2 linked regions of the Macaca mulatta genome follow. The protein of the gene in region 1 purifies or fractionates together with the protein of each later gene. This does not show direct contact. Links are inferred from orthologs where the notes say so. Each region holds a gene or a part of one and is shown on either strand. Other genes may lie near its edges.

Evidence for each region.
Region 2: the proteins of MARK2 (region 1) and FUCA1 purify together in Homo sapiens (affinity purification with mass spectrometry; 3 studies listed by BioGRID and IntAct, counting the BioPlex papers as one, with this or other methods). This does not show direct contact. The link is inferred for Macaca mulatta from reciprocal best matches to the Homo sapiens genes MARK2 and FUCA1.

What each region holds. Positions count from the first base shown.
Region 1 is NC_133419.1:10,507,816-10,511,616, reverse strand, and holds part of MARK2 (serine/threonine-protein kinase MARK2), read left to right. Parts: intron 1-109; coding exon 110-367; intron 368-1,400; coding exon 1,401-1,427; intron 1,428-3,551; coding exon 3,552-3,596; intron 3,597-3,801. UniProt on the Homo sapiens protein: Serine/threonine-protein kinase. Involved in cell polarity and microtubule dynamics regulation. Phosphorylates CRTC2/TORC2, DCX, HDAC7, KIF13B, MAP2, MAP4 and RAB11FIP2. Phosphorylates the microtubule-associated protein MAPT/TAU.
Region 2 is NC_133406.1:217,121,837-217,126,198, reverse strand, and holds the start of FUCA1 (tissue alpha-L-fucosidase), read right to left. Parts: upstream 2,823-4,362; 5' UTR 2,783-2,822; coding exon 2,391-2,782; intron 1-2,390. UniProt on the Homo sapiens protein: Alpha-L-fucosidase is responsible for hydrolyzing the alpha-1,6-linked fucose joined to the reducing-end N-acetylglucosamine of the carbohydrate moieties of glycoproteins.

The sequences.
Region 1 (3,801 bases):
GCCCTAGCATCCCCCTCCCTGTCCCCACCACAGGGTGTCCAGGTGCCCAGTGATGATGGCTGTCCTGTACCCTAATTCATCCCCCTCAACCCCACTTCTCTTCTCACAGCACAGCCCCCCAACGTGTCCCTGTCGCCTCCCCATCCGCCCACAACATCAGCAGCAGTGGTGGAGCCCCAGACCGAACTAATTTCCCCCGGGGTGTGTCCAGCCGAAGCACCTTCCATGCTGGGCAGCTCCGACAGGTGCGGGACCAGCAGAATTTGCCCTATGGTGTGACCCCAGCCTCTCCCTCTGGCCACAGCCAGGGCCGGCGGGGGGCCTCTGGGAGCATCTTCAGCAAGTTCACCTCCAAGTTTGTACGCAGGTAAGCAAGGAGCTTTGGGTGGCAGAGAGGCTTAGGCCAGGCCTTCCTACCTGACTGGGAGTGGGTTAGGGGTTGGGGGTTGGGATTTGGGACACTCTGTACTGGTATTGGGTCTTGGGGTTAGAAGAGGCTTGGGGAAGCACAAGAAATTGGGTCTTTGTCAACACCTTGTATGCCCAGGCCCACCCCTCTGAGGCCTCTCCCCAACTCCTTACAGGCACCCCTCATTCTCTGGCCCCAAGCAGATGGCCGATGCCGCCTCCTCTCTAGGAGAGTGTGAACTCAGATGCTAAAATAAAAGCCCCCCCTTCTCTCCTGGGTTCCCATGGAAACTTATATTTGGTGACGCAGCTGCAAAGTCATGAGGCATGAGCCAGGCTGGGGCCAGCAAGGAAAATTTTGTCCTGGTCTCTTGTCCCTTTGACTGCCTCTCCCCTTAGCTGGTTCTGTTTGTGGCTGCAGCCACAGCCATGCCCTTCCGCCCGGGGGTTCTTACGGTGAAACCTATAAATGAAATCACTGGCGAGGGCCCACAGTGGCCTAACCAGAGGTTGTGCCAAAGCTTTCCTGTGTTGGACCCAGGGTGGGGATCTCTTCATGGGGTTTCTCACACCTGAGCCCCCAGCCACCACAGAGGGGCAGCTTGAAGTGCATCCAGCCAACTGGCTGGCCTCCTGGGATGCTCCGCGTCCCTGTCATGCCCATTCCTCTCCCTGCCTTGGAGTAGCAGCTCAGGAAGCAGCAGGGGCTTTGAGAGAGCAGGCTCGCCTGCCCTTCCTCTACGTTTCACTCCACTCTGCTGGAGGAGCCAAAGCCACTGCCCCATCTGAACCCCAAAATGCAGGTGTGAGGCCTGCAGAGAGGGTGGGCAGGTCTGAAAGCCTGGGACTCTAGTCTCGCTGAGCGGCTCTTCCGAAAATGGGATGACCCTTGAACCTGTGAAGCCACTCCCCACCTGCTTATCCACATACCGTCTTGTTGGTTTTTTTTTATTTCTTTTTTTATTTTGTCTTTTTTTTGTTTGTTTTTTTAGAAATCTGTCTTTCAGGTTTGCCAGAAGGTAGGCGTTGAGCCCGCTGTGTGTGTGTGTGTGTGTGTGTCCGTGTCCTGTGTCCTGCCTCCATCACTAACTCCCCTTTTCTGGCTCTTACTCTCCTCCATCTGCTTAACCAAGTCTGTGTGGCCCTCCTTTCTCTGCCATCTTAAAGGGATGAAGACTGCCTCTGATTGGGCAACGGCACAGGGCCTGCCTTCAGTGCCCCCAGTACGAACAGGCAGGGCTAAGAGGCCACATTGGCCCACTCAGGGCAAATGGCTTTAAAAATGAGGGGCCTTCCTTGGGCCCACAGTTACGCCTGTCCTCAAGTAAGGGGAGACTGTCTCAGGGAAGCCTCCCTTTAAGATTGTCTCCTCTCACCCACCCCACCCCATCCCCACTCCCCCTCACTCCAGGTTTTGGTCAGTGTTGGGATCCTTTCCTGGCCCTTTCCCCTGTCATGTGCATGCGCTGTGAGGAAGCTCCAGGGTTACAAGTGCATCTGGGATGGTATCTTGTCTGTCTCCTGGGCTTCCTGAACTTCAGAGCTGTGTGACCTCTTCCCCTTGGCCTATGGGATGGCAGGACTTTGGAGACACTACAGGGACCCTGGGGCCCCAAGGTTTCAGTCTAGATCCTCCAGACCTTAGGAGCTTTTGTCTCACAAATGGAGCACAGCACCCCCTCCTGGCAGCTCCTGCAGGACTAGCCCCACCCACCCGCACCCCTGCCCCAACACCCCTGCCACCAGCAGCATCTGGATAAATCAAGCCTCTTCTCCTCCGGGCTGTTTTCTCCAGATATGGCCTGTCCCTTCCAAAGTGCCGGGAGCTGGGACATTCCAGGGCAAGGGCCGTTCTACCCCAAGCCCTAGCAAAACAACAGATCTCTGCACCCTTACCCAGGGGTCTCCCTTCATGGGCCCCTTCCTGGCTGTTTCACCCCTGGCCTTAGGCTCATCCTCTCTGCAGGCCTCGGGGGCCAAATACCAAGCTGAAGACCAAGGGCCAGGTTAAGAGTGCTTGTTCCCCAGGGCTGTCTGCTCAGGCCCTGCACTGGAACTGGGATGCCTGGCAGGCACATTGGTGCCACAGCTGATGGAGGAACGTCCAGACAGGGTCTTCAGGCTTTCCCCATCCCCTCCTCCTCTCACCCAGCGCTTGACTGCCTGGCTGGCTGCTGCCTCAAGGGGCCCCAGCAGGGGGCTGCCCCACAAGGCATCTGGAGAGAGCGGGGCGGGTGCCTTCCTCGCACAGCCGGGCTCCCTGCTCGCAGTGCGCTTGTGTGCACCCCTGTGTTGGTTGTGTCTTCCTGTTTATTTCTATGTGCTGCTGCTCTTTCTCCTTCCTCTCACATCCTCCCTCTGCAATCCCCAATTTCCTAGCTCCAGACACCCATCTTCCAGCCAGGAGCTGGAGAAGCCGCTCAGCGGGGCCAGACCTCTTCCCCACCCACCCACCCAAGGTGTCTGCCCCGCCCCGCCCTCGTCCTCCCTGTGTATGAGCAGATGGCCTGGCAGGCCAGCAGGTAGGGGAGTTGGGAAAGGTCGGAGGAGGCGGCCTTTTCCACTCAGCAGCAGGCACCCATCCCCAGGTGCCTACCATGCAGACCCAGGCCTTGGCACTTTGAGCCTTCTGACAGAGACCCTTGCGTAGCCACAGCCCCTCCTCCTACAGAGACCCAAAGCATTGCAGCCCCTTTCCTCCAAAAGGACTGCAGTCCTGAGACCCTAGCGTGTGGCTCCAAAAACTTACTCACACCCGCAACCCCCAGAACAGCGCGTGAGCCCTGGCTGTGGGGGAGCAGCCTCGTGCCCGGCTGTGTGCTCGGTGTGCTCAGTGAAGTGCGTGCACAGCCACTCCCCCTCCTCCCCCAGAGCGGAGGCTCCTTCTCCCCGGCACAGATCTGGGAGTGTGGGGAGGGACAGGCCCCATGTGCTGGGCTCCCTGCTGGAAAGGAATGGTTGAGCCGCCAGTGTGAGGTGCTGCAGAGCCCTGTTGGCTTGCCAGGTGATGGGCAGAGGGCCCTGGGCTTGGGTCCTGCCCACCCACTGGTGGCACCTCCCCAGACCCACTCTCATCTGGGTCTGTGGCGGCGGAAGGAGCGAGAGATCCCAGCACTAAACTCTCCCTCGCTCTGTTTTTTGAGGAACCTGAATGAACCTGAAAGCAAAGACCGAGTGGAGACGCTCAGGTGAGAGGGCTGGAGCCAGCACTGGCCCTGCCCGGGCCACCGGGCTTGCCACAAGCCTCCTGCTCCTCTCTTCCTTCTGCCACTTGGCTCTTCCTCCCGTGGTTCTGCCCTGTCCCTACCCTCTGGGGCCTCCCTTTCCTCAGAGAGTTTCCCCTTCCCAAACCCAATTGCAGGAGTTAATGGGCCCTTCTCTTCAGGTCTGGTA
Region 2 (4,362 bases), on another chromosome or scaffold:
TTCAATCTGGCCAACATGGCGAAAACCCATCTCTACTAAAAATACAAAAATTAGCTGGGTATGGTGGTGTGTGCCTGTAGTCCCAGGTACTTGAGAGGCTGGAGCACAAGAATTACTTGAGCCTGGGAGACGGAGGTTGCAGTGAGCAGAGATCGTGCAATTGTACTCCAGCCTGGGCTACAGAGCAAAACTGTTTCAAAACAACAACAACAAATAAGAAAACAGAAAACTAAGCTGTTTGGTTTACCAAGCCTATATAAATTGCCTCTCATTTATTATAGAGGTAACAAAAGACCCAATAACTGGGAGAAAAGGCAAGTGTTGAAATAACAACCAAATCACTCAATATTTAATTTGCTTTTATGGCAGAAAAACAGCTAATACCTGCACTTTATGATTCAATCACTGGCCAGAGAGGGAACTCCAGGACTTGAAGGACCAAGTCCTTTTAGGCTCTGGGGGCACATTCCTCTCTGTAGTGTATTCTTCTTTAAAAATTTTTACAATCCTTTAAAATTGTAAAAACCATTCTCACTTCATGGGCCTTAAAAAACTGGCAGAGTCTGGGCGCGGTGGCTCACGCCTGCAATCCCAGCACTTTGGGAGGCCGAGGCAGGCAGATCACAAGGTCAGGAGTTCGAGACCAGCCTGGCCAACATGGTGAAACCCGTCTCCACTAAAAATACAAAAATTAGCTGGGTGTAGTGGTGCGTGCCTGTGATCTCAGCTACTCAGGAGGCTGAGGCAGGAGAACTGCTTGAACCGGGACCCAGGAGGCGGAGGCTGCAGTGAGCCAAGATCACGCCATTGCACTCCAGCCTGGGCAACAAGAGTGAAACTGTCTCCAAAAAAACAAAACAGGCCGGGCGCGGTGGCTCACGCCTGTAATCCCAGCACTTTGGGAGGCTGAGGCAAGCGGATCACGAGGTCAGGAGATCGAGACCATCCTGGTGAACACTGTCTCTACTAAAAATACAAAAAAATTAGCCGGGCGTGGTGGTGGGCGCCTGTAGTCATAGCTACTCGGGAGGCTGAGGCAGGAGAATGGCATGAATCCGGGGGGTGGAGCTTGCACTGAGCAGAGATCGCACCACTGCACTCCAGCCTGGGCGACAGAGCGAGACTCCATCTCAAAAAACAAACAGAAAACCAAAAAACAAAACAAACAAACAAACAAACAAAAATGGCAGAGGACCAATCCCGCTGACCAGTTTGCAGACCCTGGTGCAGTGTAAACAACCTTGATGTCATGAGACTTGCAGTCTAGGACATTGTATTTCTTCCTCTCTTTGGGCCAGTCACCTCATCCATGAAATAAAAGGCAGAGAAAGAGGCTATCTCCCAGATTTTAATTTTTCTCAATGATAAGTTATGGATCTCTAAGGTCCTAGGAGACAAACACGTCCTCTGCTTAATCAAGTCTTATACTCCCATACATTTAATGGCAAACACTAAATGCCAGTTATAATTTCTGTTTTGTACAAGAGAATCCAAAGTTCAAGAGAAAGGAAAACCCGGAAGATAGCTTAGGAACCAAGATAAGAATGGAAGACTGCTCTAAGCCAGGGGCTGGGGAAACCTCCCCGCCTCCATTCTTACTCTTCTCCAACCCACTTCTCTCCCAGCAGCCGAATGAATCTTTCTAGAAGCTGAGAGTAACCACTCCCTGACTTAACACCTGGAAATACAGGGCTCTCAGGGCTCACTCCTTCAGGATAAGCCCCTGCCTTGACAACTTCATGGGTCCTGGTCTCCCCTTATCCCCACCCCAGCGCTCTCTACTCTGTTGTCTGAACCAGCCACCCCCAAGTTCCAACAGTTCTCAGAGTCAAACCTTTCTTGGGCACTTCCTAGGTACAAGCGATTGAGAGGAGCAAATGAATGACTATCTGTACTGTTGCCCAAATACACTGCACACCAGAACTCCCCTCTCTTTCCCTCTTAGAGACGTTAGGACTGAAAGGAAAGGATACAACCCCTTTCTATAACCATAGAAGAGGCTGCAGGGAGGCTGAAGTGACTTGTCCAGGTTCACAGTTGAATTAGAACCAGGCTCCACACCACTGATTTGAAACCCTGGAGTCCTGATAGGGCTGTCAATCTGAAAGGGACATCAGTGGCCTAACTCAGCCCTCTCGGTGCACAGGTGTAGATACCCAGGGCTTCTCAGTCCGCCATCTCCCGAAACTTCATTTATCAGTCCCCAGCCAGACGCACCTCCTCCTCCTCATCAGGTGTGTCACGCTCACTCTTGCGGCCGCAGGAGGCCACACGCGGGTCCCGGGGTCATGGGGGCTACCGGCAGCTGCGCGCCCCGGCTGGCCGCCCACCCCACCTCCTGTCTGCCACCCGAGCGGGGAAGGGGCGCCGCCCCCAGGGACCACACTCACTTGGCGCCCGCGGCCTGGAAGAGGTCGGCCCACTCCTCCGGGTGGAAGAAGCGCGCGGTAAACTGCGGCCCGAAGTCGGCGTAGCTGAAGCCGGGCGGGTAGTTGTCGCGCATGAAGCGCTGGTACTGCGGCCGCCCCTCGCCCTGCCAGTTCCACCAGAACCACTCGCTGCCCCAGGCGGGCACCGAGAACACGCCCCAGTGGATGAACACCCCGAACTTGGCTTCGTCGAACCAGGACGGCAGCGGCCTAGAATCCAGGCTCGGCCAGTCCGGGGTGTAGCGGCGCAGAGGCTGGGCCCGACGCACCGACTCGGTCGCTCCGAGGAGGAGGAGCAGCAGCAGCCACAGCGCGGCACCCGCCGGCCGCCACCTCTCCCCCGGAGCCCGCATTGCTGCCCGGAGGCGACGCGGCCCACTCTTAATGCGCAGGTGCTGGCGCACGGCTCCGCCCACTCTGACTAACGATTGGCCCGGAAGGAAAAAGGGGTGGGACAACCCGGATAGGTTGGCCCCAGTCGCTTCCTCTTCGGGTTGGCGGAGAGCCCTCTGGTACTCTAATCCGGAAAGACGTAGGGAGGCGTTGACAGCGCTTCGCTGAAGGACGAATAAAAACCTTGAAAAGGGACTTAACTGCGAGGTTAAATCGTGGAGGTGAGCAACGCCCAGTGTGTTCGGAGAACTCACATTTAAGAAGTCCATTGAGCCAGGCGCAGTGGCTCACGCCTGTAATCCTAACACTCTGAGCCCACAAGTTGGAGACTAGCCTGTCGCTACAAAAAATAAACAAATTGAGCCTGGCGTGGTGGTGCACCTCTGGAGTCCCAGCTACTCAAGAGGCTGAGGTGGGAGGTTCGGGATCGCTTGAGCCCGGGAAGTTTGGGCTGCAGTGAACCGAACCGTGATCACGCCTCTGGGAGTAATCCATTTTGCTGCAGCAATCCTGCAGGGGTAGGCTGAAGTCAGATCACAAGTTTTTTTTAGTGATCACTTGGGAGCCATAGGGGGCTGGAGGAGGAGATACCAGACTGGAAGGGTATCTAACAGCCCTGACAGAAATAAGGAGGTAGACGGATGATGGGAGGAAACATTATGAGGGGAGAGGAGGGAGAAAAGTAGGTACTGAAAGAGGGGGAGTGGGCAGGACCGTTTCATCTGTCTAGTATTTACTGAGCTTTCTTTGGGAATTCTGAGGCATTTCAAATAGCTTAGCTTCTACCGACATCACGCCACTGCACTCCAGCCCGTGGGCGACAGAGCGAGACTCCGTCTCAAAAAAAAAAAAAAAAAGAAAAAGAAAAGAAAAGAAGAAAGAAAGAAAAGAAAAAGAAAGTGGAGAGCCAAGGGGACCCAGGCCAAAGGATTGCCTGGCAGGGAAGTTCCCCAGTTCCTCTGCAATTTGTACGTGCTGCACATACTCAAACGGGAGGTGAGGCTATTAGCGAGGGAAATACAGAAGTCAGAAGTCTCTGACCGGACAAGGTGGCTCACGCCTGTAATCCCAGCACTTTGGGAGGCCGAGGTGGGCAGATCACCTGAGGTCGGGAGTTTGAGACCAGCCTGGCCAACGTGGTGAAACCCCATCTGTACTAAAAATACAAAATTAGCCGGGCGTGGGGTGCGCCTGTAATCCCAGCTACTCAGGAGGCTGAGGCAGGAGAATAGCTTGAACTCCGGAGGTGGAGGTGACAGTGAGCCAAGATCGCACCACTGCACTCCAGCCTGGGCGATAGAGCGAGACTCCGTCTCAAAAAAATAAATAAATAAATAAAATAAAAGAAGAAGAAGTCTCATGACCCCACGTAGCACTCTCAGTTCCCACATGCCAGTGAGAGAATGGCAGCACTTCAGAGTTGGAAGGGACTTTGAAGATCCTAGGCACCATCCTCTTCCCTACCCTTCCCATTGTACAGAGGAGGGAACTGAAGCCCAGAGAGGGCTGGGGGGCTGCCCAAGATCATGCAGCTAGTTTG